Linked DNA regions of Tamandua tetradactyla. The protein of the gene in region 1 purifies or fractionates together with the protein of each later gene. This does not show direct contact. Links are inferred from orthologs where the notes say so. Each region holds a gene or a part of one and is shown in the gene's direction. Other genes may lie near its edges.

Region 1 (7,976 bases):
CTTATTTGATCCAAACAAGCATTTATAGTTTGGCACTATGTTAGCCTCTCAAGGAATCTATAAATTAATTAAATACACAATGTTGGAGAACATGCAGGTTTTTAATTAGAGTAGTGATTATGTAATTTTTTACATAATCTAATGGTTTTGTGAATTTAATAGACAGTGCAATAGGAATTGAGGGCTCCTGAAATTTGAAATGGATAGTAAAGTGCTAAGAGGATCTGGATTAAGTGGGGAGAAAGGAAGGTTATAGACTCTGAGGAAAACATGAACAAAGGCATTAAAGTAGGAATTAGCATTGTATCTGGGAGTCATGTACACAACCATTCTACAGACTGACTCAACTATTTCTGCCCTCCAATTTTATTCTAAGCAGCAAAGAATTAGAATATGTTTACCTGAAGTTCTCCAAGTTTCTTAGATATTGATGAAATAATGGTAAAAAATCCACTGATTTGATGGGTTGGAGAAAGCTGGGCTAATCCACCGATCTGAACTCTACCAACTGGAAGATGATCAAGTTTGGTGATTACTTCCAGCACCAGCACAGCCATATCTAATCAAAAACAAGTACAACTTATTGATTCCATATATACATTATATTTCATTTACTTTTATTGGCATACATTGGAAAATTTTTCTTATTTTAAAAACATTCTTTTATTTTCAAATAAAACAGTCACTTACCATACCATTCTGGGTTGGGGGAATTTTGATCTTGAACCCAAAATGAAAAGAACAATAAAGTTTTACAGATACCTCATACTGAGAAAAAATGTTACACTGAATGAAAATATTTAGCATAAGGAAAATTACGTTGAAAGAGTATTTTAAAATTTATTTTTCAAGAACATAGGTTCAGTTTTGAAATATAAAAGCACCAAATCTCAGTTCTTTCATTCTCATCATTTCTGGTTTTGAATTAGACAAAGGGCTGCTCTTGCACAGCTGTAAGGGCTGCTCCCTGCCTCCCAGGGGGTCTAACTACTTACTTCTCGGTTATATCTGATCTCTGAGATCAGATTCCCCTGGTTATCAGAGCCCTTGGAATTAAGAAGAATGGAACTTAACTGTATCCTTCAATTAGTCCCTTAGATCTAATACCTTCATGGCCATAATTCACAGCAAGAGAAATATGATGTATGTATATATGTAATCTAAGATCGTTTCAGGGCAGTATAGCTTCTAAATATTTTCCTACCAAGACTTTACATTTTTAGAAGACATGCACCTACAATGTGCCATATACAGGTGAATCATTTTACAGACATTTTTTCATTTAATCTCCACAACAATCCTTACAAGGTAAGTGTTATTACCCTCAATTAACAAATGTGAAACTGAGGCTACAAGGTCTTACGGAATCTCTAACATCACTTGGCTTTCCAGTCCTAGAAACAAAGTCCAAATTCTGGACTGTTTGACTTCAAAGCCCATGTTCTTCCCATTCAACCAGGTTGCTTCTTCATGAAAAACGTTAGATGGTGAAAGGGCAGCTATTTGATCCCATTTTACAGATTTTTCAGAAATGCAAAGGAACTTGCCCAAAGCCCTACAGGTGTTGTTCAGATGCCAGGTCCCATTCTTCATTATACCACATGATGCACAAATAAATATCTGACCTCTTGTCTTTCATTTTAATAATATCTTCACTCTTACTGAAGAATTTCTAATCATACTTCTTTGTTAAATTATATAAAAATACCACCTGAGGACTTAAGGTTTAGGTTTACGGCAAAACAATGTAAATTTAACATTCCCTTAATCATTCTTGTTAGCTAAATGTGAGCAAAAGAATACGGCTAAGCAAGCAACAGAGAAAGTCTATGAAACTTCTTCAGAAGAGCTAATGAAACCAAATGGCTGGCATAAAAATGAAGTTAAATACTTACTGTAGCTATCAGTCCAAAATAAAAAACTAAAAACATGCTGCAAAAATAAGAACACCTAATAGCAAACCAAAGGAGAATAGGGGGAGAGAGTTTACTTTATTCCATTGCTATTTTTCCTTCATCATATCTCAAGATTGCCTTCTATTGTTTGTTGTTTAGTTCAGGTATCTGAACTAAAGAGTTATTACATTTCACTTGGTTCAGTGCAACAGTCTAAGTGATCCTTTTTTTCTTTTTTTTTTTACATGGGCAGGCACCGGGAATCGAACCCGGGCCCTCTGGCATGGCAGGCGAGCATTCTTGTCTGCCACTGTGGCCTGCCCTCTAAGTGATCTTTTTGCCTTTAGTCTCTCCCCTCCAATTCACCTGCTGAAAGTCACACTAACCATCCTAAAATGCAGGTTACTTTTAAAATAAAAAATATTTAGTGATTCTTCACTGGATATAAAGTCCAAAATCCTTAGCTTGGCTACTGAAGTCCTTTCACATATGGTCCCAAGCCAACTTTCCAATTTCATCTTGTCTCATCTTCCTCCACAGTCCTTACACTTTAGTCATTAAACTTCTCATTGCATCCAAAACAACCCTCATATTTCCATGTCTTCAAGTTTCTGCTAAGACCCAGATTAAATAGCATCTTCCCCATGAATCTTCATTACATCTTCATTTTAGGAAGGAATAGTTCACTCCTATACATTTTACACTCCTTTATGTGAGTGAAATTTTCCCAGTATGTTATTTATACTTCCTTAGTAGCAGTGGTCACTTTCCATCTACTCTTATAACTAAACATTTCTGTGAATTTAGTTAAAACTGGATACTTTCCTGATTCATTTTTGTATGCATCTAGCACAATGTCTAGCACAGAGAAAGTGTTCAAGATATTCGTTAAATAACTGAATTATGGCATTTACTTGTTCTTTATATATATATATATATATATATATTTTTTTTTTTTTTTTTTTTTTTTTGCACGAGCAGGCACTGGGAATCAAACCCAGGTCTCCGGCATGGCAGGTGAGAACTCTGCCTGCTGAGCCACCGTGGTCCACCCTGTTCTTTATTTTTTACTTTAATATTTTTTTAAAAAAATTTCTTGATAGATATAGCTATTTAAGGCATTGTTAATTTCTAATTTGCCTCTGACAATCCAGTTTTCCTAGCCTAAGAGCATTTATATGATAAATATTCAATTTTTATTGACTTGAATGGTATTGATTTGATAAATAACCCCACTATCCAAAATGTGTTTACTTAACCCAAATAAAGGATTTACACTGTATATCTAGAATGCTTTCTTGTACCAAAATGAAGAAATCTTGTCTTCCTGGATCCATACAGAGGGATCCTTCCCTCCTCTGAAAATCTGTATTACTAACTTGCCAAACCATTCATTTGACATGTATTACCTTGTAGTATTAGTAAATTTTATATCTATATCTTCTTTCCACAGACATAATGTAAGCCCAGATAGAGACTACAGCTATTACCTGAAGAAGTATGGTGTACAGAAAAGAGCATGAGTTTTGGTGTCACAGAAGTGGGTTCAAATCCCAGCTCTGTTATTTATCAACTATGTGACCTTACAGAGTATTTATTTCACCCTCTGATTCAGTTTGTCTATAAAACAGAAATTACCTATCTTGCAGGATTTTTGTAAGGATTAAAAATTATATGTATAAACTGCCACGATATCATACACAATCAAAAGTGGTTACTATCAAACCTCTTTGACTCCTCAATGTGTCCAGCACATATTAGGTACACAATAACACTTATCGCTAAGAACATAAAGGAATGCTTCTTGTTAGACTACTAGTGAAATGATAAGAAAAAAATATACCTGTTAGATAAGAGTTAAACTGCTTTGGACCACAGCGAATAGCATAACGTGTAGTTGTTCTCACAGCTTTTGGTTCAGTCTGCAAAGTATCCCGTGGACAAAAGAGGGTTCCATCTGATGTTTCTCCCCACCATCTCACTCGGACAAGTACACAAGTGGGAGGCTTTGCAATCTTCCATATGACTTTATTAACAGTAAGTTTCAGAAAGCAGCGTAGCTGACCTTCAACCAGAGGTGGTAGGCTTGTAGATGGAGAAATGTCACTCAAACCTGTAGAAGAATCCAAGAACACTGAGTTAAGGGACTTGCTTTGTGCTAGTCCTTGGGAATCCAATAATGTATAAAATGTGGTCATTGCCCATTAGGATCACGGACACAGTTTAGGTGTCTTCCAGTCCCATGCGGCAATCCAAAATTATACCTCTCCCCTCACTTTCAACTTTATCTTCAACAACAGTCCTGTAATTTTTGTTCCTATTCCCTAGAGGGGAGAGGAAACCTTGTAGCCCTCACTCCGCCCCATCTGGTTCCCCGTTTTGCCACTCCCGTCCTCCAGCCCCTATTTCCTTTCCATTCTTTGAAGAGTCAAGTGCCCTCTCCTTTAACCTTCTGGTTCCCTGGTTATTCGCCCTTCTCCGTCCCTTAATCTATAGGGGGGGAAGGGGCGAGATAGCTGTGTCTTCCACCTTGCTCCCCCAACGCCCACCCTGTTAAGCTTTCTCTGGTTACCTCTTTTCTTGCGGCCACGGCCGCCCCCGAGCCCCGGAGTTTTTCGTTGTTTCATGGCGACCGCGAGCTTCACCAACTTAACTACAGCCCCGGCACCAAAGCCGTACCCTTGGCCCCACCATCCCTTCCAGAGCGCCCGCGTCCCCTGGCAACTGGTGCCGCTGGGAAGCCTGGGAAGCAGGAACAAGTGACTCTTCCTCTAACAGTCAGTAGGAACCGGTTAGAAGAGAAGGCGCCAAGTCGCCTTCTAGACAATAGACTACAACACCCAGGATACTTTGCTACTATACCTCTTTGGGGTATGAGGCTGTCATCTCCAGCTGCGCAAGCGCAAAGGTAGAGCCCCTTTGAGGACTCCATTGCCCAGAATGCATTGCCCTTAGGAGCGCTCCTCTTTCCAGCGAGGGTTGTAGAGTTCTCCACTTCGGGTCCGAGAGATGCGCACACTCTGTTACCCAGCTTCCTTTGTGGGAGGGCTGTTGCGCACTTCCGGCGGAGGCGCTGAAGAAAGGGGGTGGGGTTTTCGAAGCCGGTGGGCGGTGGGCGGTACTGCCGGTAGCTGGGGGCTGTCCAAAGGCGACAGGGCGTCGCTAGGGCAGCGAACTGTGATCGGTTGGGCAGCACGTAGCGTGGGACGAAAGCTTGGCTGCTGTTTGACTACGTGCGGCCTTCCCTTCATGTCGGCCCTAGAGAAGAGTATGCACCTCGGCCGCCTGCCTTCTCGCCCTCCCTTACCGGGCAGCGGGGGCAGTCAGAGCGGAGCCAAAATGCGAATGGGGTACGTGACCCGTGCCTCTTCTCCCTCGAGTCTGGGCTGCGGCCATTGGAGAATGGTGTTTCTGAGCGTTTAGAACTGCACGGAGGGGAGGTAAATGATAGGAAAGAAGGTTGGTGGCTGCCTGGGAGAGATATGTATGGAGTAGAAAGCAGATTTGGGGTTAGGGGAGGTGCCAAGTCGATGGAAATTGGAGGACACCATCAGAAAAAGGCTTGAAGGAAATTTGGGCTCTTAGTAGTGTTGAAGGGAAATGGGGAATGAAGCAAAGATTGGGGAAGCCAAGATGATAATTTAAAGGAGGTAGGAGGAACCTCTAGAAGAAGGGATGAAGGAAGTTTGAGAAAAAGGAATAGAGCAATGATAGAGGTAGGGGGAGATCTGCTAGGGCATGTTGAGGGAAATGGGAATGACTGAGAAAAAAGTTGAAGGGAATTAGGGGAACCACAAAGGAAAGGTTTCAGAGGAGTAAGACCTGTGAGAACAGAATCTTACAAAAGCAGAGGGGAGTAGGGAACGCTTGAGTAGATTTGGAGACGCAAAGAGGAGAGTCAGAGAACAGAAGGTTCTAGAGTTCCCAGAGGTATAAGAGGCAGATTCAGAGAATGAGGGGTGACTAGGAGATTATGTCTCCTAAGGAAGAATTGAGAAACCTTGGGGAATAGGCCTAAGGAAAGATGGAGAACAGCCAGGAAGACTGTTAAGTGTAATAAGAATGTGCTGAGAAGCTGGTGGGAATAAGGGAAGAAAAGGGAAAGGGCTGAATTGCTGAGAAAGTGACCATGGGCTTGAGGGATTGAGAAATAATTTGGAATAGTGTTTGGTAAATGAAAGTGGTGCAGAGGCAAAATCTGGGAAGCCTGAGGAGGAATATTTGGGTATGATATATACTGGGCAGATAGGTCTGAGAGAATCCATGTACTGATCTGATAAGACTCAGTGAATTAGTGAAGCATTGGGAGTAGCCGCTTAAAGTTTTTATGGGGAAAAATATATTGGAAAGGGAGGAGTTGTGTTGAAAGAACAGGCTTTGGAATTTTAGGTTGTTGAATGGCTTGTGCCAGATTTGGGGATACTTAGGCATAGGAGAGAGAATATAAGTTGAAGATGGGAAAAGAAATTGCTGGAAAGCAGAGGGAATTGAATAGGCAGTTGGGATTGAGGGGTGTTTGTAGTATCAGGCAGGATTCTGGGGACTATTGACTAAAGAGAATAGGAGTAGGAAGATTACTTAGGTATGTGGTAGTCAGGAATATGTTTGGGACTGCAGAGATGGGTTGGTAGATATTCGGGAAATAAGGACTAGTGAAGAGAAGCCTTATGGTCTAAAAAAGTAATAATGTACAAAAATTGCTCAGAACAGGGAGGAGGATGGAAGATGCCGTAATGTAAAAATAAGTTCTAAGAATGAAGTGAAAGGAGAATTCTGTAAACTAAAACAGTACAATAGAGGAGGTGATGGGAGTGATTAAATAAACTAGGGAAGGAAATTAAGAATTGAAGTGATGGCTTGTGAGTTACAGTAGAAGAAATGAGAAAACGTTGAGAAGACAAGGTAGATTGTGGCTACATAAACCTGTAAGATAAAATGAGAATTGTTTTGGCATTGGAATAAAGAAAGGTAATACTGTAACATAAATAAAAGGATCTGGAAACTGATCTGTAACAGATTATTTAAGAGAATTAACCTGGAGTAAAATTAATGTGGCATTTATCGATCTGTATCTTAATTGCCTTTCTAAAACTAAAATTTGAACTTATCATTAGCCTTTGTCTGTATAAAACTAAATAATGAGCAATTATCATTTTAATAACTATATAGTCTTTAGGCAAATGTAATTAGAGTTCAGCTCCTCACTTTGTCAAAAAAAAGTTCTCTGATAAAAAAGTATTTGCAAAGTACCATTGGTGGTCTGGGGAGAAAGGAGTAAATATTCAACTTCCCCATTTGGAGAATTTCTAATATTCTAGCAAGCAGTGGGGACAACCAAATCAGTAGGCTGAGCCCTCGATCTTGAGGTTCGCCCCTGTGAAACTTATTCCTGCAAAGGATAGGCTAAGCTTAATTAAAATTAGGCGTAAGAGTCACCCCCCAGAGATCCTCTTTTGTTGCTCAGATGATGCCTCTCTCTCTTAAGCCAGCTCAGCAGGTGAATTCACTGCCCTCCCCACTGTGTGGGACATGACTTCCAGGGGTGTAAATCTTCCTGGCAACATGAAACAGAACTCCCAGAATGAGCCAGAACCCGACATCAAGGGATTGAGAAAGGCTTCTTGATCAAAAGAGGGAAGAGAGAAATGAGACAAACTAAAGTGTTAGTGGCTGAGAGATTTCAGAGTCAAGAGGTTATCCTGAAGGTTATTCTTATTCATTCAATAAGAAGGTTATTCTTATTCATATAAGAATAAGAATATTCTTATTCTTATTCATTCAGTACACCTTTTTAGTTTATGGTGTATTGGAGTGGCTGGAGGGAAGTACCTGAAACTGTTGAACTGTGTTCCTGTAGCCTTGATTCTTTTTTTTAACTTTTTTATTGTATAGTATAACATATACAAAGCAAAGAAATAAAAAAGCAATAGTTTTCAAAGCTCTCTTCAAAAAAGTGGTTACAGAATAGATCCCAGAGTTTGTCATGGGCTACCATACAATCCTCTCATATTTTTCCTTCTAGCTGCTCCAGAATATAGGAGGGTAGCAGGCTTAAATACTTTTTTATCATCACAATTGACT
Region 2 (7,692 bases), on another chromosome or scaffold:
TCCTTCCAGAGTAAAGAAGGGTTAAGTGAAACATTTATGACATGGCAAACTTTAGTGATCCAACATTTCGGTGGTTTTATTCCCAAGCCTGAGAGATTAATTCATTCATCCGTTCATCTATCAAATTATGTGGCTGGTGATGTGGAGATGTTTAAAGCATACTTCTTGCCCTCAAAGAACTCAGTCTAGTAGCACACAGACACAATTAGGTAATTAAAATATGATCTTGTAAGAGAGCAGGCATTAGATTTTATGAAAATATTTAGGAAGGGCACCCAACCCAGCTCTTGGTGGGTAGGCAATGGGGGAAAATAAAAGAGAAGCCTTCCTGGAGGAAGTTATATCTGAATTGGATTTTAAAGAATTATGAGTTTTATTAGTTGAGAAATGAAAAAGGGATGGGTGTGTCAGAGTGTTGGGGTGAGTGGATGGTGGTGTTCCAGGGAAAGGGACAACATTAGCCAAGGTAGAGAGGAGATATTTGAAATGCTTTTGGACATCTGTGGAAATGTCAAGAAGGCAGTTAGAGGTATGTCTAGAGTTCTGGGATGAGGATGGGGCAGGAGATCTAGATTTAGCAGTTACTGGTGTACATGAAGTTGGTGTAAATAAAATTGCCCCCAGAGAGTGTGTGCTTAGAGAAGGGAACCCCAGACAGAGGCCAGGGTGACAAATCACCCTAATATTTAGAGGATGGGCTGGGAAGAGGGGCCAGCAAAGGAAACTGAGCGGGGTGGCTAGAAAGACTGGGGGGAAACCAATAATATATCAAGAGAAAAAAAAACAGTCACAAGTAAGAAAGGAGTGATCCACCATTTCAAATGCTGTTGGAAAGTAGAAAAAGATAAAACAGAAAAAGGTAAAAAAACAGAAAACTATTGGCTTTGGTAACGTGGAGATCATGACCTTGACAGTGAAGTGATGGGGATGTAAGCCCGAGTGCAAAGGATGGAAGAGAGAATGTAGATAAGTAAGGGGAAACTGCCAAGAGCAAACCTTAACCTTGGGCTAGTGGGTATTCTGGCCTCTTTTCCTAAGAAGAAAAGGAAGCAGCTTGTGGTCCTCCATAGGGATTACTCAGTGTCAAAAAGTGCCAGGTCACTTATATCAGAGTGCCAGAGTGTACTGACCCTTGATAATTAGATCCATCTCAATTCATCCCATATTCATATAGTAACCTTGAAATTCTATGTAATATTCTTAGAACAGTGGCCAGCATATAGTTAGTTACTATATGAATTTTTGTTATAATTAGCCCTCTTCCCAGGCAAGATTTATTGGTTTCTAAGAAATTATTTACATTGACCAAATCATTTTCAGGGTCTTACCCATGGCAAAAACTGGAGCATAAAGAAGAAAAGTGACTTTATTACAAGAATCTCAGTCCTGTTTAGTGGTCAATTCCCTTACACTTTCTCTCCCTGAGAGTTCTGGTTAAGATGGCGATCTAGAGGAGTCTGGGCTTGAACTACCAAACAAAGGCAGAGAAAACAAAAAGGAAAACTAAGGGTACTGGCATATCCAGAGAAATACATTATGAAATCAATCGCTATAGAAGTAAACAGATATAGAGTGGATTTCAATTTTGGGTTTGTTTGTTGATAAAGTGAGAAATAATGTAGAATTGGAGGGGGCATAATATGTTCCATCTGAAGGACTTTTGGAAACTTGTTTTACAATTGAACCTTTTAGGAAACCAAGAATAAGGTAGGAGGTGGAAAAGCTGGGGAGGAGGTGTAAATATATTAATCTTCCTCTCTTTCTTTGTCTAGGAATGCCTTATCACTCCATTCAGCCTTAAGGTCAGAGTTTTAATGTTTTTGTAGGTGTTTTTCATATGTAAAATGCGGATCTGTCTCTTACAGGATTATTGCAGAGATCAAGTGAGATATGTAAAGTACCTGGCTGGTTACTGCATCATTAGGGTGTCTTTGACCAAACTGCACATCCCTTCTTGGCTGATGACCTGCTACTTTTCCAGCGTGTTCTTTTCCCCTTTCTACCTCTTAACAATATTGAAGACGCTTTCAAGACAAATCTAATAATAATGGCAGCTATCATTATTGTTTACCGTTTACTCAGTTAAACCATTTAGTCTCCAAAACATTATTATATGATAGAATTGTTATCCCGATACCACCTAGTCAGTATTTGTACCCAGGCAGCCACTCTACAGGGCCCAGTTATCTTAACTATTGATTCTATTACTTTTGCTGTACAGACCTGGGTCACTTTTCTGGCCATATTCTGCTACTAGCAAACTCAGAAACTACTCTTCTAGCTTTCAGCTTCCGAAAAGGACTCGTGCCTTAGTTCCTGGGGCCCATGCGAAGGTAATTTAATTCACCCAGATGGAGCCGGTCCAGTTGCCTCTTTCTCAGACTCGCGAATTTTCACCTTGGTTGTGCAGCGCGTCTGCTTTATGTCATCGTCCCTTTATTTCACTGACTTCAGGATTAAGCCACAGTCTTACTCTCTTAAGTAGCAACACGAGTATTTTCAAAAAAGATATAATACACTCAAGAACCCCTCCAAACCCTGCGAGTGAGCACGTGAAGCGGACAGCTGAGCCGGCCCCAGAGTCCCCGCACCCAGGCTCCTTTCACTGATCCATTCCTGAAAGTCGCGTGGGCTTCGGAAACGGTGGTGTGCAATGGGCTGCGGTTTGAGTAGTCTACGCAAAACCAGCCGGAGCGGGAGACTGGTAAGAGCCGGCGGAGGGAGCGCCGCAAGGGAACCACCATACCAGCAGCGCGTGTGCCAGGGCGCCGGGCAGGCGGGGACGCTGCGGGCGGGGAAGGACCCAGGCGCTTGAGGGGCGGGACAGGGGAGAGAGCCGGGAGACCAAGAGGGCGTGGCCGGGAGCCAGCCCGGCCGCTCCCCTGCCCCTCCCCCGCTCCTCTCCAGTGCTCACCCCGCCCCGCTCCGCCCCTTGGGCTGAGCCCCGGGCTCCACCCGCCGAGTGACGTCACTTGCCAGGCCAGCCGGCGCCATTTTGAAAGTGGAGTCGCCTGCCCCTGCCGCTGCTTCCGCCGCCGCCGCCGCCGCTGGAGAAAGAGCAAGAGCCGGGAAGCTTCAGAGTGAAATCCACCATCCTGCTGGCTGGTCTGCCCGCCCCTTCTTCCTTCTCCCCCAACCCCCGCCCCTTCCCCCACAGGTGCTATCCGCTGCCATCCGCCCTCTCTACCCCCCCATCCCCAGGTGAGGGGGGTGAGTTCAGGAAGCAGAGACCCCGAGGAACCCAGCAGGGTCACCATTTGCAGCGCAACATGGCAGGTAAAGGAGAAATCACCCTCGCCCACTGACAAGCAACCGCTTCCTCCTCCTTCCTCCCTCCATCACCCCCTAGCGACTGCCTGGGTTTCATAGAGCCACGGAGTGCTCTTCGGTTTTCTGGGAATTGGTCAAGTTGGGGTGGGGTGGGGGTGGGGAGGGTTCTGGTGAGGCGAGTCGTGGCTGTGCTACCACACTGGCTTTTAAAATAAGGGCTGGAACCCTTGCATGGGGGGTGGGTGCGCTCGGCCAGCAATGGGGTAAGGCGTGGGTGGGGTGGGGCGGGGTGGGGGCGAGTGCAGATTTGTCCGTACTGCTTTGGTGTCCGGTGTATCCTCCACCACCACCACCACCCCCATCCCCCAGGGCTTTTTTTGTATGGCTCTTCCTTCATTTAATTCTATTTCTCCCCCTGCAAACCTTCTTGGTTGGGTGTATATACAATTATATTTTGCACAGGAGAGGTAGAGTGGTTTAGAAGTCAAAATACAATGGGAACATACGTGCGTTTTTCTCCTGTGGGTACGTAAATTTTTGAGACCAATGCTCAATTTTTTACCTTGAACCATCTCCCTTTTGAATCTTAACCCTTTAAGGCCTTTAATATGGCAGGTTGCATGAAAAATGTAATTTAAACTTTCCGTTTTGCTTGTTAGCTTTTGTGCAGATGTCCTTTCCCCAAAAGGGTTTCATAGAGTTAGTTAAAATAGTGATGGAGTTCAGTGATATAAATAGCAAAAGGGAAAGATATTTGGGTTAAAGCTTGGGGAAAAAAAGAATGTATGGGGAAAACCAGGTTGGAATATTTAGTGAGGAATGGGAGTGAAGGAAGAGAGAGGTAATTGCTTGGAGGATTATTTTTGTACTTTTTAAAATTTTTGTGCTGCCAAATAACTTCATCTAATAGAATCAGTTCTAGATCTAGATTTTCTTACTCTATGCATGCAAGACATTTTCATGATTTTCTTCTCGGTGCTTGGAAGTGAAATAGAACTATTCAGGAACTCAACCAGTTTTTCCACACTTTTTTTTCAATGTGAGATAGTTAAACCTTTCAAAAAGTTTTAAAAATATTGGATCAGCTTGCATTTGCCATAGACAAGTTGCCCTTTGGCTTCGTTGAATAGTAAAATGAAATTAAAATTGTTTTGCACAAGATGATGACAAAATAGAAAAATAAAATCCTTCATAAGATCCTTTAGATTTTGAAGGATAAACTAAAGGGGGGAGGAAAAACAAACTTCCTTTGACAAGTAAAACAGCATTCATTTCGGTTTCTTTTCCTCTCTCTGTCTGGAGCCAGTGATTTGCTGGTAATGAAATGCAGAGAAATGGGTGGTGAGTGTTGTGTTTGCTGTGTGTGCGCTTTGGTGATAGGGTTCATATGAATCATTTACTTCTCACCCAGGCGGTAATGTTCCTGAAGTTTTCTCTTCGTTCTATGTTTCATGGTAGTTTAAACTTATTTACTTTCCTGCAGGCTTTTGGTACTCTTAAAGAAAAACTATTAAGCTTTTGGTATTTACTTTTTTCTGGTAGGTCATGCTTAAATGTAAAGCTTTTACTGCATTTTAGGGGAAGGGAAAAATGGAAGGAAGTTTGGAACACATGTACAATGTTAATGTTTGTACATGCCTTTAAATATTTCTTACCCGAAAGCTCTTTTTTCCTCCTCCTTTTTTTGAAAGCAATGTTATAACCAACTATTGGGGACTGATCTTTTTCCAAATTAGTACTGTGGAGTGGTGGTTATGTGTGTGGGCAGTACTAGGCTATTAGAATCATGCCAATCATGGATACCATCTCTGTGTTTATGAGAGTAAACATGAACAGAATTCTGTTTTAATTGGTATGTTTTTGTTGTTGTTGTTTTCCAGGAGCTGGAGGAGGGAATGATATTCAGTGGTGTTTTTCTCAGGTGAAAGGAGCAGTAGAAGATGATGTAGCAGAAGGTAAGAAAGTGTTTAGTAATGCAAAACTTGAGTATAGAATTTTTTCAAATCTTGTTTACTGAAGGATTTCCTTGAAGCTGAGTCTGTAATAGTTTAAGAACATTTCGTGTTTATTGTCTGAGAAATGGGAGAACAATTTTAAAAGTTACCTTTCGAGAAAATAGTCTTGACTCTTTAACACCTTTTTTGTTTTTTTATGCCTTGTTTTGTTATTATTTTCCTGAATTAAATGAAAGGAGCAAAAAATAAATAAATAAATGAAAGGAGCAGTAGATGATGATGTATGTAAAACCATCACAAGAAAAATCTAAGGTTCCTAGGATAAAGGTTTCCTTGCTATATACATTCTACATACAAATAAATGGTTTTAATGTTTGTACCTTGTTTTTAGATAATTAAGTTGAAATAGGTGCTTTCACCGGTTAGCTCAGAACATTATTGACAGCAGCTTTTATTTTTGTGGAAAGATTTTTAGGTTTTTTTGAACTTGGCAGTGTGGTGTTGGTTGGGATAGTCTATGAAGAAATTCTGGCTCACAGTATGCATTTTATTGTCTTGTAGAGATTAATTTAGGTGGATAAGAAAATAGCATTATGAATATATATCTGGTCTTTTGGGGAACTTATGTTTTTGTGCAGTTAGAAATTGGGCTTGATCAGTTGAAGAACTTAAGTCTCATATCCCTTTCCCACCCCCCAGAATTGTATATTAATGTATTTCAAAAATTTTAATGTTTTTGCTCTCAATCAGGAGATGGCCTTAGGCAGCGGCAGTGGAAACATTATTTCCCATTAAGTAGTTGCATTACTTTATCATCAAGAACCATTATATAAAGTTTGAATCTTAATAGTATTTGGAAATAGTATCTTACAGTAGGAATTTTCCAACAAAATTCGGTTAAATAGAAACGTACTTAACTTTAAAAAAATTTGTCTAGTGAAAATTTATACCTCTTCATTGTCTTGGTTGTATTGTCCTCAATTAAGATCATATTTCTGACCCACAATCTAGCATGTTGGGTTTGGTGGTAGGTAGATGACTTTATGTTGAGCCAGCTTTGTATTTGCTTGTGTTACTATAATTTTTAATGAAGTTTCTGATCAGAGTTTTGTGAAACCTGTGGGATGTCAACTGGCATATGTTATACCAGTAAGACTTGACAGAACACCCTCATATTTCTTTCCTGTTGTATCCTCACCTGTTTTTCAAATGAGAAACCAGCAGCTTACAGAAGTTGAGAAGCTCACCAGTAGGCCCACAAATATGTACTGTGTTTCTGGCTAAGTCTGTGGTGTTTGACTTGTTCAGAAAAATAAATCCTAAGTTCATGGGAGGAGTCATGTGTTACTCATTTTGTAACTCCATTACCTGTTGAATAGTAGGCGCTCAAATATTGGATCGTTAGTTCTGTGCTATTGTGTAATAGCCACCAAGTTAAGAAAGTGCTGTATACTTAAAGACATTCCTTCATTCAATTCCATTATCAGGTTCTAGTGGGGGCCTCCTAAGTGCTGAGCCCTGGGAGTATAAGGCATCTTGAACAAAAACCCTCCCCTTTGGGGGTTATAATTTACTTAAACATTAGGCAGAAAGACCACATGGATTTTATTTTCAATCAGAAGGAACTGATGTTCTAAATTTACCAAATTGAATCAAATGATGGTTTGTGATATATATGGTGGGTCAGTCGTAGTTCTCTTATACTTGCTGTATTTTGCTACTGATTCTTTAAATAATGAATTTCTTTTGAGTTTGTTAAGTATTATTTTAATATTCAGTGCGCTCTTGGCATCCTAAAAAAGCTGAGGCTTGTTATGTCTGTTTTAATCAAAACAGTGATTTGTCCTAGTACGTATGTCTGTACAAGTGGATTAAAGATAGAGAGCATCCAGTTTTCAAATTATGCTGCTTTATTTGCAGTAATTTTGCATACTATGATTTGTATTCCATAGTCTGTTGTTTATTTTACTAAAGGAATACTTGCTGTTTCGAAATAAGTAGGATTATTACTACGTATTTCCCCATTGGTTTAGATTATAATTTTTAAAGAGCTGATGTCTAGCTCATCCTTAAGCATAGCTTTTGCATATTCTGTTAATGATTTATATCCGTTTCTTTCCTGGTAAAGGCTCCAAGTTGTCTCTCTCTATCCATGTACTGTCCACTGCCAAGTCTATGTTTTTTTACACCATCAGTGCTTTCATTCTCTTTCTGTACCTACTTTCATTCTAGCTCAGGTTCTCAGTATCTCATCTGGATTACAGTAATTTCTTCCATGATTTGCTGATTCTTGTCCTATGTTTTCCTTCTGGGGTTAAGTACTGTCCCAATTTGGTCTTCTCAGAAATCTTCAGTTATCCACTGAATTTTGAATTAAGTTCAAACATGTAGTAAGACCACAGTGTGACCTTTCACCAACATGGCCTGTACTGCTTTAAGTTTATTTGCCAGTATGGTTTACTGTCTA
Region 3 (7,693 bases), on another chromosome or scaffold:
CACATCTACTGCAGATACGTGCACTTACAAACTATGCAAACACAGACATACACACACGTGCACCTACAAACTATGCACACACACATACACACACGTGAACCTACAAAATGTGCCTGTGCACACACCCCCACACACGTGCACCTACAAACTATGCTCACACATCCACACACGTGTACCTGCAAGCTATCCACACACACATACACACACACACGTGCACTACAAACCATGCACGTGCACACATCCACATACGTGCCCCTACAAACTATGCACACGCATACATACAAGTGCTCTTATAAACTATGCACAAACATGCATACACACACGTGCACCTACAAACTATGTACGTGCACACACACACGTACACTTACAAATTATGCACACGTACACACATGTACTTACAAACTATGCACATGCACACACACGCACACCAAATGCTATGCACACACACATACATACACACACGTGGACCTACAAACTGTGCACATGCACAGGTGTGCCTACAAACTACAAGCTCTGGTCCCGGCCCCCGCTTCTAAGGACCACTGTGATGCCCTCAGACTTGCCCTAGGTCCAGTATCACCTCCATCTCGGACCCTTCACTTAACCTCACCCGCAGCTCCCTCCTGTTCCCACATTCACCAGTCCCAGGAACTAGGATGCAGTCATCCGTGGGGGCCGTGGGTGGGCTGCAGACAGCCAGGGAGGTGGAAGACCCTGACTGCACCCAGCGTCTGCTGTCCTCCCAGGCCTGGGAAGCCTGGGGAGGCTGCCCTGGCTAGTGGCTGCCCCATTTCCCTCCTACACCTGTGCTTCATCATTTGCACATTTAACCCAAGAGTGAGGACTTGGTGTTCTAGTTCAAAGAAGCTGCCAGAATGTGATAGACCAGAAATGAACCGGCTTTTAAAAAAGGGAATTTATTAAATAGCAAGTTTACAGTTCTAAGGTTGTAAAAATGTCCAAATTAAAGTCAGCCTATGCAGATGTACAAATTAAGGCATCAGGGGAAGACACCTGGGTCAGGAAGGCTGATGATGTTCAGGGTTTCTCTCTCAGCTGGAAAGGTCCATGGCGAGATCTGCTGGCTTTCCCTTCAGTGGCTTCCCGGGGCTCTGCCTGTTCTGTGGGCTCTGTTGGTTCTGGTGCCTCTAAAGCTTTTTCCAAAATGATTCCCTCTTAAAGGGCTCCAGGAAGCAACCCCACCTTGAATGGGTAGAGACACTTCTCCATGGAAACCACCTCATCAAAAGTTACCACCCACAGTTGGGTGGGTCACATCTCTATGGATAATTAAAAAGCTCCGACCCAGCAATATTCAATGTAGATTAAAGAATGCGGCTCTTCTGGGGCACACCACAGCTTCCACCAGCACGCTTCGGTGGTCCGTTCTTTGGTTCTGACCTGAGGGCTGCCCTTGGGGAAAGGAAGTCCCTGCCCGATAGGAGAAAATCCAGGGGGACAACGGGGGCACAGCGCTCCCACCTGGCAACCCTCTGTTCCCGGCTCCACATGGAGATACCTCCCACCCTGGCTGCCTTTGAATGGACTTCTGGAAGGCAATGCTATTAGGTATCCGGTTTTCCCCAAGAGGAAGAGAACGCCAAAACCCGGTTAGGGCGGGCTGGGGAACTGGCAGGAGGAAGGCTGGTCCTTGCGAGGTCCTTGAAGCTGCTCTGAGGGCAGAGGGAAAGGGGAGGGGCATGCAGGACAGAGCAGGGCTGCGGGCCGCCATGGGCCCCACAAAATCGAATTGGGATGGGGGGTACAAAGCAACCGCAGGACGTCTCCAAGTCCACTGAGAGCGCTCTCCCCACCCAGGCCCCAGGCATTAGGATGAGCAGCCTGCCTGGACCACCTGCCCTTTCCATAAATATACAAGTGCAGGTTCTCCCCTAGAGGCTGGGTCCTACCTTACTTCACGTTTTACAACCTCCGGTCTCGAGGTTGAGGGGCCTGGCCTTGAGGGCAGACCTGGGCTGTGGTTCTGAGCAGTCATGCAGCCTTGGGCAAATCGCTTCCTTATCTGCTTGTGGGATCTCCTGAGCACTGGGTGAAAGCAGGCAAAGTGCTCTGTGGGTGCTCGTGGGACCCCTGGGAGCAGAGGCAGTGGGGAGCACAGGTGGGCTCTCCCCCATACCTGCCCCCACGGGCCCCCAGACGTGGCTCCATGGCCCTGCCACGCAAATACTAGGCAGGTGACACTCAGTCAGTGACTGAACTAAAAGCCCAGTCCCCAGGATGGCGAAGGCCAGCAAGATGAGCAACCCAAGCACACCTGTTTCTGCATAAGCACTCGCATTCGCTTTCTACTCCTGCCGTGACAAAGGACCCCAGGCCTCCGGGTTGGAAAGAGCACCCGTTTGTCACCTCATGGTTCTGTAGGTCAGAGGCCGGGGACCCCATGGCAGCCAGTTCCCCACTGAGCAGCTCATGGGACGAAATCAAGAGGTCCCCTGAGCTGGAGTCCTTTCTGGAGCCCTGGGATGAAGCCTGCTTCCAAACCCTTGCAAGCAGTTGGCAGGACCTGGTCTCGCTGCTGGCCGTGGCCTGAGGTCTCCGTGCCAGCTGCCTTGGCCCCCCGAGGTGGCTTGCCTCCCCCACCCCAGGCCTTCCCAGAAGCGGGCTCAGCAAGGGGGCTCGGACTCCCCTGCAGTTCCCATCGCTGTCTCGCCAACCCTGCTGGAGGAAGGGCTCTTCTCCTAAGTGCTCTTTTGATCACACTGGGCCCACCTGGGTCAGCCAGGGAAACCCCCCCCCATATTGAGGGCTGTGGAGTTACAGCAGCAAAGTCCCCCTTGCCACATGAGGTGGATAATCCACAGACTCCTGGGGACCAGGGCACCCGCGTTTGGGGGCCATGACTCTGCGGACCCGATGCTCTCGGAGTCCCACACAGCTCAGCAGGTAACGAACTCTGGAGAATGGGGGAGGGGAGCAGGCCCCCACCACCGGAGCAGGATGGAAAGGCACCCAGGGCCTGAGCAGGTGACCTGCAGCCTCGGCCTGGACACCCAGCAAGGCAAAGAGAACCACTGTAGTGGTTCTTGAAAAGGAATACACACCCTGATAAAAATTGCCTTTTTCTTCTACGCACACCCTTTTTTTTCAGTACTTTGCTATGTAACACGGTCTGACTTCTACATTTTTCTTTCTCCATTACCCGCTGTGTTCCTCACTGACCCCCGGCTAGCGCACCACCTCCCGCGTACCCGCCGGAACTGCTCGGAACACCTCCGCGGGGATCCCCACATTCGGCCTCCAGAAGGGTGAGGCAGCCACTGCGACTCCATGGCGACCCCGAGGGCAGTTACGGCTTCGCTTGCCGAAAATCTCCTAAGTGGCGGTGACCTGTCCCTGGGCCTCTGAAAGCAAGCCCGCTAGGAAAAAAGATGAGCCCAGCGGAGGTCCAACGCCGAAAAAAAATTTTTTTTTCACATGGGCAGGCACGAGGACCGAACCCGGGTCTCCGGCATGGGAGGCGAGAACTCTGCAACTTAAGCCACCGTGGCCACCCAACGCCGAAAGTTTTCCTGCTGCTGGTAGGCGAGGGCTCCCCGCGCCTGGGAGTCCCCCAGAGTCGGACAGCAGCGAGCCCGCGCTCCCAGGCTCCCAGGACCGGGACGGTCCCTGCTCCGCGTGCTCAGACAGCAGGACGCGCAGAGCCGGCCGGCGGGGTAGGGCCCGGGGAGGGAGTCAGCTTAAAGGGGGTCAGCTCGCAGTGGGGCGAGTCCAAGAGGGGGGTCAGCCGGCCGAGAGCCGCTGACCTGCGCGGCACTTGGCAGCCCTGACCTACGCCGCCGCGGGGTTCGCGGAAGGACCGCGTTCCCATTGGCCGAGGCCCGGAAGGGGCGGAGCCCAGGTAGAGGCGAGACATGTGGGGCGGTGCTCGCGGAAGTACTGCGTTTCCATTGGCCGAGACCCAGAAGGGGCGGGGCCCGGGTAGAGGCGAGGCATCTCGGGCGGGGCTCGCGGAAGGACCACGCCTCCATTGGCCGAGGCCCGGCAGGGGCGGGGCCGTGCGTGAAGCACTGCCGGGCGGGCGCGCCCTCTGGAGAAGCCCGGGGGCTAGAGTCGCGGCCACCACCCGGGCCCACCCGCCAAGTCCCTGGGGATAGAGCTTCGCGCTCTCTAACATCCCTCTGAGAGAGCCAGGAGGCCGGCGGCGGCCCTACTGATGGTCTTCCAGGGAGCACCTGTCACTGAGTCCCAAGCACTAGGTCACCCCAGACGCCAAGAAACCCGACGGGCAAGAACCCGGCCCACGGCACTGAGGAGTCCCTTTTTCCGGCCCTGGGCGGAGCCGTGGCCCTAGGCTAGGGGGCGGGGCACGGCTTGCGGCCCGCGGTGGATTGTGCGCAGGCGCCGTCGGAGCGCGAAGCGCCCCCGACAGCCCCCGCGGCCGTGCCGGCCCCGCCCCCGCGCCGGGGGCGCCCTCCCCGGACAGCTCCGCCCCCCGCCCGCGGCGCGCTCGGAGGAGGGATGACGTCATCGAGCGGGGCGACGGGCATTGGGCGCCATTTTGAAAAGGGAAAAAAAAAAATCACTTCCCGGCGGCGGCGGAGGCGGCGGCGGCGGCGGCGGCTGGGCGGCCGGGGCTGAGATTCCAGGGCGGCAGCAGCGCGGCGGCCGCCTCCTCCCGTCAGCCGCAGTCGGCGCGGCCGACGCGCCGCCCCCGCCGCCGCCTCAGCGCGCCCGCCGCCCGCCGGCTATGGCAGGTGAGAGGCCCGCGCCGCGGCCGGGGGCGAGTCCGGGGCGGGGGCCGCGGCCCGCCTGACGCGCCGGGTTGTGTGTTTGCAGGAGCCGGCGGCGGCTGCTGCCCCGCGGGCGGCAACGACTTCCAGTGGTGCTTCTCGCAGGTCAAGGGAGCCATCGACGAGGACGTGGCCGAAGGTAAGGCGCCCGCGCGTGGGGCGCGCCCCGGGCCCTCCTGCCCTCGGCCGGCCGCCGCGCCTCGTGGCCCGGCAGGCGCTGTCCCGAGCGCGCCCTGGCTCCGGGCGGCACCGCGGCGCGTCTGCTCGGCGACCCTGTGGGCCCGGGCGTCCCGGGACGTCGCTGCGCGCTCGGGCCGGCCGGGGGCTGGGCTGGCCGCGCGTGGGCCCGCGTCCGAGTCGGGTGGGCCCGGCCGGGGCCGCGGAGCTGGCGGCGGCGGCGGGAAGCCTCCGGGGAACGTGGCGCGGCGCGGCTCGCCGACGTGTCGTGCTCGCGGGCGGGAGGGCATGGACGCGGCTGGCCTGAGGGCTTATGTAGGTACCGAGGTCGCCGAGCCGGGCAGGGTGGAGCTGGGCGAGAACCCGCGTCCTCCCAACCCGTTCCCGGTGGTCTGCCGTGTCAGTGCCGGCCTCTGCGTTCGTGGAGCCGAGGACGTAAAGGCAGGAACTGGGGCGTCGAGGAGTCCGTTTGGGGTCTCTGTTCCGGCGGAAAGATGCGGAGCGGCGGTGCCGGGGGAGTGGGTGCCTGGTCGGGGGTCTCGGTTCCAGGCCCAAGCCCTGTGCGAACCCCCGGGCTGTCCTCGCCAGGGTTTCTGCCTCGCTTTCTTCATCTTCAGAAAGGAAGCTTGGCTACCGAGCTCTCAGGTCCTTTCTGAGCTTCTCACGTTCTTGGATTTTGAGTGTCCTTACCGCAGAGCCAGTCTTGAACCTCAGGGCATTGGCTTCCGTGGGCATGTCTTTCCTGAGCTTTGCGTTCCGCGGGCCAAGGCTCAGAGTCTTAGGTGGGGTGTGGGACCTGGGAGTCTCTCGTGCCGCCCTCGCGTTCCCCATAAAGCCCGTGTCCTTGTAGAGTGCGTGTGTATGCACGCAACATGTGTGCTTAAACACAGTTGGATGTAGAAGTGATTCTTAGAGACTCTGTTTCAGGTTTAAAGCCAGGGCACTTTGTGTCGTGTTCGGTCATCTTGCTGAACATTGTGCACTTTCACTCTTCTCTTAAAAGTGATTTACCTTGGCTAGTGCTTTGCCCCAGGTACATCTTCCCTCCCCTAAGAAACTGGTCAGATGTCTTGTCAGCTTTCCTCCACCTTGGCCATTTGAGTAACCTTTCCCCCTGCACCCTGTATCTCTCCCCGGCAGGGTTTAGTTTGACGCATGACCCTGAGGACATCTGGAGATCCTTGGCCCCGGGAGACGTCAGTGCCTGTATTAGTAAGCAGGAAACTCTCCTCAAAGAAATTTGTAAAGATGTATAGGACTTGAAGCTGAAGCTAGGTGATTTTATATAACATAACTAATTTATTGAAGATTCTGTTTCTTTTATATTAATTGGACATAGTTGTTCTTTTTGTTTCATTTTGCATGTGCCAGGTGAGTGAGAGCTGAGCCTCACTGGAATGAAGTAGTGACTTATCTCAGGAGGAAGGAGTATGTGTGTGTGTGAGGAGTCTTCATGCCTGCTCTAAGTTCCCATTTCTTTCTCATTTAGAAGCTTTTTCACCAAGCTGAATGAATTAAAATTAAATGTGACTTTAGCGTTCCGCGGGCCAAGGCTCAGAGTCTTATGTGGGGGTGTGGAACCTGGGAGTCTCTCGTGCCGCCCTCGCGTTCCCCATAAAGCCCATGTCCTTGTAGAGTGTGCGTGTGTATTTTTTTTTGAATGTGACATTTTTGAATGTGACATCTCAAAAATGGCATTATTCTCTTTAAAAATCATTACAAAAATGTTTTGTTCTCTAAATTAAACTGATCGGAAGTTTTTGCAATTTCAAACCCTTATTTTTAATTCTCTAAAAGTTTTATAATTCAGGTTGTTGACTTTTTCTAAATTGCTTGTGGTGATGACCCACTTTTTAAATTAATGTATGTGTTTGAAGCTTTCTGTTTTAATCCATATGTTTAACTTGAGTAACTGATTGCGGTTAACACATTTATCACTACCATTTTGTCAAATGGTTTTGATATTACTAGTTTGAATTGCATTATTACCATAGAAGTTAGTGATGAAGGAAAAAGCAATCATTAGAAAGTTGGGTAATGTGATTTGCAGAATTTGTGTCTCAAACTCAACCTTGAAGTGAAAGAAATTTTCATTAGAGGAAATTAATAGGAAATGAGTGATTCAGGAGAGGCTGCAACTTTCACTGAACAATTGAAGGTGTAGTAAAATTTATTTGTGGTTTGTGAGGTATTTTGCTCTTGAGGTTTTGTTCTGGTTCAAACTACTCCCCAGAGTTCGACCTTAATCTTACACTTTAGACTGTCTTTCTGCGTCTCCCTGTGATGGATAGGTATGAAGAAGAAAGTCCAAGGGACATTGAGGCTTGGGTCCGTTTCTTCTTTTGATAACAACAGCTCTTAGAGAGGATGGGGAATAGGGGTTAAAAGTAAGCACTTTTGACTTTGAAGGTTGTGGAATGAATAAAAAGGAAAGAGGCTTTTGGTTTTGGTTTCCTTTTTGTTTTTAAAACTAGTAATTTCTAGGTTCTTTAATCATAACTCCTGATGAAAGTATTGGACTGTGTAAAATGTATTTTTTGGCTTGTTTTTTTTAAGAATTGGGTTTTTCTGTGGGTCAGGTCAGCCTTAGTGCTAAGAGTCAGTAATGCTGTGTGTGAGATCATTGTTTTCCCATCTCTCTCTCTCTGTAATTAGGAGGAGATCAGGGCTTAAAGAAGGTTAGTAATTGTCCTGCTGGCAGCAAGAATGTTGACTGACAGTGGTGACAGGCCTCTGGTCATCAGTCATCGGACTGCCTGGAAGGT
Region 4 (7,697 bases), on another chromosome or scaffold:
AGGGGAGGTAGGGAACCCATTAGCCCTGACCTCTACGCAAGGGACGCTGCTCACTGGGAGACCATGAGGACATCCAACTAACTAGTCCTCCCCATCTCTCTTCTCTGCCCAGGAACTTACCACCACCACCACCATGCCCTACCCATACCCAGCGCTGACCCCGGAGCAAAAGAAGGAGCTCTCTGACATCGCTAAACGCATTGTGGCTCCGGGCAAGGGCATCCTGGCTGCAGATGAGTCTACCGGTATGGGCAGGAGGCAGAGCCAGGGAGGAGGGCCCAGAGTTGGGAATGGCGGGCTTATCCTCTTATTTTCCCGGGTGACACTCCCCTCCAGGAAGCATTGCCAAGCGGCTGCAATCCATTGGCACCGAGAACACCGAGGAGAACCGGCGCTTCTACCGTCAACTGCTACTGACCGCCGATGACCGTGTGAACCCTTGCATTGGTGGTGTCATCCTCTTCCATGAGACGCTCTACCAGAAGGCGGATGATGGACGTCCCTTCCCCCAAGTCATTAAATCCAAGGGTGGTGTTGTAGGCATCAAGGTGAGGGGGCAAGGTAACAAAGTGGGGGCGGACATCGGATTGGGACTCTGTGGACTGAGGTGGGGTCCTAGATCACCTTCAAAGGATGGAGAGGAAAAGCCAGGGACTTCAGTTACCTGCCTGGCATTTTTAGCCCTCACAATTCTCAGAGGGAGAGATTACTCTGTTTTACAAATGAGAAACCAGAGGGTCAGGGAAGTGAAGTGTTTTGCTTACAGAGTTAGTAACTGGTAGGGCCCAGGCCTCCTGAAACTCAAATCAGTTAACAGTCTGTGCCAGGTAACATCTCCATGTATCTTGCCTCATAGGATTAGATACTGTACCTAAGCAAAAATATTTGTGAGCCATGAGGTGCTGTTTAAGAGATTAAGTTGGGTTCAGATTGGGGCTACAGAGGAGAAAAGGGTGCTAGACCATTTCCTGTTTATCTTGCTGTCCCTCCTCCCCCAACAGGTAGACAAGGGCGTGGTACCCCTGGCAGGAACAAATGGCGAGACCACCACCCAAGGTGAGAACTCTTTGGCTCCTCACTCTATTAACCCATAGTCACCCTTCATGGTGGCCGCGGGTAAGTGGCCAAGTGGCTCCTCCCTCATTGTGCTCTGATTCCTCTGTCTCCTTCAGGGCTGGATGGGCTGTCTGAGCGCTGTGCCCAGTACAAGAAAGATGGAGCTGACTTTGCCAAGTGGCGCTGTGTGCTGAAGATCGGGGAGCATACTCCCACCTCCCTCGCCATTATGGAGAATGCCAATGTGCTGGCCCGTTATGCCAGCATCTGCCAGCAGGTTGGCTTGTGGGTCCCCAGTAAGCCACCTCCCACCTCCTTGGGCCCCAAGCTGTCAGCTAGCCTGCTACGCATCTGCCAGGATACCTACCTCCTCCCCCAAGGCAGCTGTTCCTGGAACTTTCTAGGAACAAATCAGTCTCTGTCTTTGCCCAGCAGAAGATGCTCAGAAAGCTCTGCAAGGCAGAGGACTAGAGTAGGCTTATGAGGTTGGTCTTGAAGCCAGGAGTTCCTCTCAGCCAGTGACTTCAGGGGGGTTGGAGGCAGAACCCTGGGTTTAGGAGGCCTCACCCCACTTCCCACCCAACAGAATGGCATCGTGCCCATCGTGGAGCCAGAGATTCTCCCCGACGGGGACCATGACTTGAGGCGCTGTCAATATGTAACCGAGAAGGTAGGTTCCTGCTTGCTGTGGTGGGTGGGGCAGCTGGGCCAGGGCCCTGACCTGACCCGTCTCCCCACCCAACTTGGGCCCTGCCCTACTCCAGGTGCTGGCTGCTGTTTACAAGGCTCTGAGTGACCACCACGTCTACCTGGAAGGCACTTTGCTGAAGCCCAACATGGTAACCCCAGGCCATGCCTGCACCCAGAAGTTTTCTCACGAGGAGATTGCCATAGCAACTGTCACAGCACTGCGCCGCACAGTGCCTCCTGCTGTCCCTGGTGAGGCGTGCAACTTCATCTTGGGAAGGGGGTACTTTATACCCACAGACTTTATACCCATCTGGTCTGTTCTTCAGGGCAGCTTCTTGGGGATCCTATCTGTCTCACCCTTGTTCTGCAGGAGTCACCTTCCTATCTGGAGGCCAGAGTGAAGAGGAGGCATCCATCAACCTTAACGCCATCAACAAGTGCCCCCTGCAGAAGCCATGGGCCCTGACCTTCTCCTATGGCCGAGCCCTGCAGGCTTCTGCCCTGAAGGCCTGGGGTGGGAAGAAGGAGAACCTGAAGGCTGCCCAGGAAGAGTATGTCAAGCGAGCCCTGGTAAGGATGGGGCAGGATGCAGACAGGGTACCTGGGTAGGTGGGATTCTGAGAAGCTGGGTTCCCTGAGGCCTTCTCACTCTGGTTTCTCTCCCCCTTTAGGCCAACAGCCTTGCCTGCCAAGGAAAGTACACCCCAAGTGGCCAGACCGGCACCGCAGCCAGCGAGTCCCTCTTCATCTCTAACCATGCCTACTAAGCAGAGGTGTTCTAAGGTTGCCCCCTCAACACTCCAAGCCCCTGCTTCCTCCTACACTCACTGTCAAGGAGGGGCTTCATCTGGGGCTCCCGGCTGCTCTTTCCCATCACTTTTTTGCCTCCCTTGTGACTTTGGTGTGTGGTGTTGTCTGTATATGCTAACTCCATCCTTTACAGCCCACTGCCAATAAACAACTATTTAAGGGGGACTCTGTTGTCTGTGCTCGTGGTGTTTGGCGCAGTGGGGAACCTGCAAAGGTGGCAGAGCCCTGAAGAAGAAAGCTCTTGTTTTTGTGTCCTTCCTTGTTTTATACTTGCCCAGAGCTTTCAGGAAGACAGAGAGTTTGTGAAATTCTCCAACCACTATATGCTCCACCCATTTCTATCAGCAGCATCTGATAAGGCTCACAGATAAGGGCGCAAATGTACTGCTCAAGTCACCAGAGGCCACAGTATCAGCCCAGAACTCAGGGTGCACAAGGCCCCTGTGGAAAAATAGTAACTGCTTAAAGCCAGACAGTGTAGCAGGTGCTGTAGATGAGTAGGTACTGCTATTCCCGGCCATCTTGCCTAAGATCACACAAGTTTCTTCGGGGAAAACAGGATTATTACTGCATATCCCCATAAGGGGGCTGGTCCATTGCCCCATTTTATGGGCGAGATGGAATTAAAATTCTTAGTCCTCTTTGGGCCATGGAATCCCTGAAGGCATTTGGAATTCTCTCCAACATTCAATTAAACAATGCAGACAGCACACGTACTCCAGGTTCCAGGTTAACTGCACCTCAGCAGCTGCCACAGTCCATGAGGCCAGAGGGAAGGTCCTGAAGCTGTCCCTATGCAATGCGCTGAACTCTTCCTCAATCATCCAGGCTGGGATGCTACAGTAACTACACTGGATTCTTCTGAACTGCCAAAGATCCTAACCACAGACATAGCCCTGCTGCCACCTCCCAAATTTTCTGCAACTTCTTTCACTGCCAGCCTTTCTGGATAGGGACTCTTTCCTGTCTGAACTTCCCATCCATGAAAAAGGTCATGACCTTTCTGTCCTTTCTGGACCTAAAAAATCCCCACAATGATCCTCATAGAACTGACTTACCTAGTACCTTCTAGGAACCCTCGTCCTTCCCTTCTGTGCACATTTGCACCTACTGCCTGCATTCATGTATCAAATCCACTCCTAGTGGCCCTCCAAACTTTGGCCTCATTTCTGTGCCTAGCCTCAATTCTGGGAAACAAAACTTGAAGCAAATAAAAGTTGAGGGTAAGTAGAAAGAAAGCAAAAACGACACTTCAAAAAACAGCATGTGTAAAGGCTGAGAGACTGGAAAGGTGGAGAGTGGGCTTAGATTAGAGTATCTTCCTCTGCCTCCAGCAAAAGAGACAAGGGAAGCAGAGGACTACAAATGTCAGGGGAGTTTGGAAAATTCTGGACTTCTGAATTTTATAACGATTCACTGAACTACAGAAATGGTAAATTCTGAGAAAATGGAAAAACTAGATTTGAGAACAGTTTTCTGGGGTTCAAATTTCAACCCTGATTCAAATCTCAAATTCTCAGCTATGTAACCATGAACAAATTAGTTCTTTGAGCCAGCTTCCTCCTCCTAACAAAGGAACAAAACTTGCCTTAGATAGGAAGTAACTGAGGTGAGGTAAAGGGACCTATTTTGTAATGAGGTAGGTCTTTAGCTTGATGAGGGAAATGTGGATCTTTTCTTCTGCCTCTAACTGTAGATGTCCCGATGGCAAAGATTTCCCCCGGGCCATGAAAAGAGACTGGGGATTGGACTGAGATTCCTTCGGCCATGAACAAATATTTATGTATGCCTACTATGTGCCAGGCCCATAGGGCTACAATGGTAAACAAGACAAAATTCCATACCTCAAGGATTGTAGTAGGCGAGGCAAACTACAACAGATGGGCAAAAGTACTTAACATGAAGTTAAGAGGTTTAAGCACAGCTCAGCTTCAGTTTCCCTAACTGAAACGGCAGGGAACTGGCCTGAGGTCTGTAACACCCTCCAGTACCGGCCCGTTTAGTCCACAACTTCCGTCCACAACTTCCGTCCGCATGTTACCTACAACCAGCTCCCTCCGCTCACTTCATTCTTAGGCTTGAGAGGTGTGGTTAAGGGCGCGGCGCGGAAGGGAGGAGTGTATATGACGCCACTTCCGACGCGCGCCGGAACTAGCTTCCCTTTGCTTCCGCGGCGGGGCCGGAAGTAGGAGCAGCGGTAGTGGCGGCCCAAAGCGGGGGGAAGGAGGAAGGTAGAGAGCCTGAGAGCCGGAGCCGGAGTCGCAGCGGCGGTAATAGCCCGAGACCCCTCCAGGCCACGTCCCTAGCGCGGGACCTGTGGGGTTCGACGGGAGTTAGCGGCGGTGCGGCCAGAGCCGCGGGACGTCGGGAGTCTCTGGGAGCCGATGTGAGGGGAGGCGGGTAGGGGGGGGGAAGGGGCGGGCCAGCCTCAGAATCGCGTTGGCCCCTGGCGCCCCGTACGGACATTCAGATCTGTGGGGTCGTCTTCACCTTTCCCAGGGGACCCCTGTGCGGTGCAGAGGGGGCAGTGGCCCCGGCTCTGACCCGCGCTGGGGGTGGGCCATGGCGGAGATCAGCGACCTGGACCGGCAGATAGAGCAGCTGCGACGCTGCGAGCTCATCAAGGAGAGCGAAGTCAAGGCCCTCTGCGCCAAGGCTAGGTAAGCCTGCTAGCCCCGGGGAGGGGAGGTCTTGCCGCTACTCGGACGTTCTGACCCCGGGCAAGCCCAGCGGAGAACTCTGGGCCTGGCCCACCTAGGAAGTGTTCCCTGAGAGGAGCAGTATAACGCCCCTTTCCTCGAGGAGCCACTAGCCTGCTGGGGGAGGCACACCTTAATAAAGACACTTAAAGTATCAGATGATGTATTTTTATAAAGTAGTAAGAGAAGTTATGGAAAGTATTCAGGAAGCTTAAAGCAACAATCCCATCTTTTGGGGAGGAACAGGGAAGACTCCTTGGCGGAGCTGTACTTTGGGCAGGCCTTTAAAAATGAGATAAAAGGGAGTGTCAGCAAGAACAAAGAGTCAAGGCAGGAAAGCAAGAAACTCTGTGGTTTACAAAGTTCTTTTAATTCCACCAACAAGCCATAAAAGGTGGGTGTCTTCAGTTTACAAGTGAGAAATCTCATGTTAATTCACCAGCAAGTAGGGGTTAGAATCCGAGATCAGTTTTCTGTGTCCTGTCCCTTTTCTGGCCATAATGCTAGAAGGGGTGGACTTCATCCAACTCTCATTTTCATTGGTAGGACCTCAGAATTGCAGCAAATAAGCTAGAGTAGAATTAAGCCCTGGATGGAGGGAGGCCCATCGCAGAGTTTTATGGGAAGTAGAATGGTGTGGTGGTTAAGAGCAGAGGCCTTGGAGTATGATGGCTCTGGGTTTGAATCTGAGCTCTGCTGCTTACTAGCTGTGTTTGTGGTCTTGAGCTCTCTGAGACTCCATTTCACCAACTGAGAAGTGAGGATAATAGTACTTAATAAGTTGGTTGTGAAGATTCAGTGAGTTGGTGCGTGGTATGAAGTTAGCATAGTGCTTTGGTCCAGTGCAAATATTTGGCAATCATTAAGTGTTATTGTTGTTGCTATATTAGACGAGGGCAGTGCTGGCATTGGCTGAAGTCATCAGGGAAGGTTTCTAAGTGAAGGTAGGCCTTGAAGCATGAAGATAATTTGGGTAAGCAATGGGGCAGGACCAGGGAGGAAGGACATTCCAAGCACAATGAGAGTAGGAATGGAGGCCTGAAATGTGTGCGCAACAGTGAGGAGACTAATCACCTGCCTTATCCAAGAAACTGTTTGACTGTGGCTTCCCCAAGGCTGGAAAATTTACAAGCCCACTGTTTGGCCATGAACTGGCAAGAAGGAAAAAAAAAAAAACAATCTTCCCCCAGCCAGCTTGTAAGGTTGGAATTATTTGCTCCATTTTACAGAAGAGGAAGCCAGATTCCTAGAGGCCAGGTAATTTGACTGAGGAAGTGGCGGAGCTGGATTTTTTGCCTCACATAGGCCTTTTGCCCCACATAGACCCTCTACAGCCAGGCAAAGTTTGCATGAGTTTGGTAAACAGGCGAGGCCCCTTTATAAGTGCCTGTCTCTGACTCCTCTGTGCTTTGTCAGTTCAAGGAAATTGCCCTGACTTGGCCAGCTTCAAAGTGTTTTTAGTTGTCTTAGCTTCCTCGGTTCTTACTGGCATTTTAGGAACTTAAACCAGTTGCTGCCTGGCCCTTTTCCGTTTCCGATCAGTCTTGTTTTCACAGGGCCTGAATCAGTGTGCTGGTGATAAGGGCTAATGCTTGGGTAGTATGCTAGAGTTTTCAGAGTAAATGAGAAATTATGCCTTCATTCTCTTTGTTCCTTGCAGCAGCCTTATGGATAAGGCAGGGCAGGGATGAGTATTTATTCCACTTCACGGAAGAGGAAATTGTCCAAGGTCTTGCCCAAGGTTACAAAGCTGACTGGAAGGGATGTTGGTTTTGAATCTAGGTCTCTGACTGTTCTTTTCAGTCATCAACAGCTTGGCAGAGACATTTAGACTTTGATGTGGGGTGTGAGGCAGCAGAGAACTAGGGAGGTCTGGTGGGTGCAAGGGTCCTACCATTTGAAACTGAAGTGGACTAGGAGGTACTAACTATACTGACGTCTGAGTTGGCCACCATTGTCCCAGGCCCAGTCTGAAGAAGGACCAGTTCTGGGATCTAGTTCATGGCCTCGTGGGGACCCACTAGGGCTTCCACTTGCTCAGAGGATTCATAGACTCAAACCCTGGGATCCAGAGAGGCCTGCAGTGCCTGAGCTGAAATAGCTCCTTTTAGAAGAATTTAGCAAAAGCTTTTGAATCTGGCAGTCTTTGATTGGAATCCCAGCATTGCCACCTATAAACAACGTGACCCTGATGACTTCACTTCTCTGAATCTTTGAGCTCATTTTAAGGCTCAAATGAGATCTACATATCCAACAACAGGACCTGACACATTGGTGGGCACTTAAAGAAGGTAGTGTTAGTAGTGGAAATAAAGGTAAGCAGGTGGGAGCTATGCCAGGGCAGGTGGTGTGCTGCAAGTGACAGGCAACCTGGGCCTTGTTACCAGATCATGCTGGGACCCCACTGGCACTCAGGTACAGTTTTGCAGAAAGCAGGGACCT

What was found.
Region 2: the proteins of PPME1 (region 1) and PPP2R2A purify together in Homo sapiens (affinity purification with mass spectrometry; 3 studies listed by BioGRID and IntAct, with this or other methods). This does not show direct contact. The link is inferred for Tamandua tetradactyla from reciprocal best matches to the Homo sapiens genes PPME1 and PPP2R2A.
Region 3: the proteins of PPME1 (region 1) and PPP2R2D purify together in Homo sapiens (affinity purification with mass spectrometry; 4 studies listed by BioGRID and IntAct, counting the BioPlex papers as one, with this or other methods). This does not show direct contact. The link is inferred for Tamandua tetradactyla from reciprocal best matches to the Homo sapiens genes PPME1 and PPP2R2D.
Region 4: the proteins of PPME1 (region 1) and PPP4C purify together in Homo sapiens (affinity purification with mass spectrometry; 3 studies listed by BioGRID and IntAct, with this or other methods). This does not show direct contact. The link is inferred for Tamandua tetradactyla from reciprocal best matches to the Homo sapiens genes PPME1 and PPP4C.

The regions. Positions count from the first base shown.
Region 1 is NC_135334.1:71,570,738-71,578,713, reverse strand, and holds the start of PPME1 (protein phosphatase methylesterase 1), read left to right. Parts: upstream 1-4,966; 5' UTR 4,967-5,144; coding exon 5,145-5,245; exon of another isoform or gene 5,246-5,335; intron 5,336-7,976. Other genes in the region: C2CD3 (C2 domain-containing protein 3), read right to left, coding at 402-559, 3,739-4,008, 4,758-4,827. UniProt on the Homo sapiens protein: Demethylates proteins that have been reversibly carboxymethylated. Demethylates PPP2CB (in vitro) and PPP2CA. Binding to PPP2CA displaces the manganese ion and inactivates the enzyme.
Region 2 is NC_135329.1:27,162,837-27,170,528, forward strand, and holds the start of PPP2R2A (serine/threonine-protein phosphatase 2A 55 kDa regulatory subunit B alpha isoform), read left to right. Parts: upstream 1-4,683; 5' UTR 4,684-4,687; coding exon 4,688-4,724; intron 4,725-5,150; coding exon 5,151-5,225; intron 5,226-7,692. UniProt on the Homo sapiens protein: Substrate-recognition subunit of protein phosphatase 2A (PP2A) that plays a key role in cell cycle by controlling mitosis entry and exit. Involved in chromosome clustering during late mitosis by mediating dephosphorylation of MKI67.
Region 3 is NC_135339.1:94,499,209-94,506,901, forward strand, and holds the start of PPP2R2D (serine/threonine-protein phosphatase 2A 55 kDa regulatory subunit B delta isoform), read left to right. Parts: upstream 1-4,681; 5' UTR 4,682-4,708; coding exon 4,709-4,715; intron 4,716-4,797; coding exon 4,798-4,890; intron 4,891-7,693. UniProt on the Homo sapiens protein: Substrate-recognition subunit of protein phosphatase 2A (PP2A) that plays a key role in cell cycle by controlling mitosis entry and exit. Involved in chromosome clustering during late mitosis by mediating dephosphorylation of MKI67.
Region 4 is NC_135349.1:24,611,600-24,619,296, forward strand, and holds the start of PPP4C (serine/threonine-protein phosphatase 4 catalytic subunit), read left to right. Parts: upstream 1-4,691; 5' UTR 4,692-4,787; exon of another isoform or gene 4,788-4,826; intron 4,827-5,055; 5' UTR 5,056-5,118; coding exon 5,119-5,216; intron 5,217-5,294; exon of another isoform or gene 5,295-7,697. Other genes in the region: ALDOA (fructose-bisphosphate aldolase A), read left to right, coding at 113-245, 337-548, 1,002-1,056, 1,173-1,333, 1,643-1,726, 1,821-1,995, 2,117-2,316, 2,418-2,513. UniProt on the Homo sapiens protein: Protein phosphatase that is involved in many processes such as microtubule organization at centrosomes, maturation of spliceosomal snRNPs, apoptosis, DNA repair, tumor necrosis factor (TNF)-alpha signaling, activation of c-Jun N-terminal kinase MAPK8, regulation of histone acetylation, DNA damage checkpoint signaling, NF-kappa-B activation and cell migration.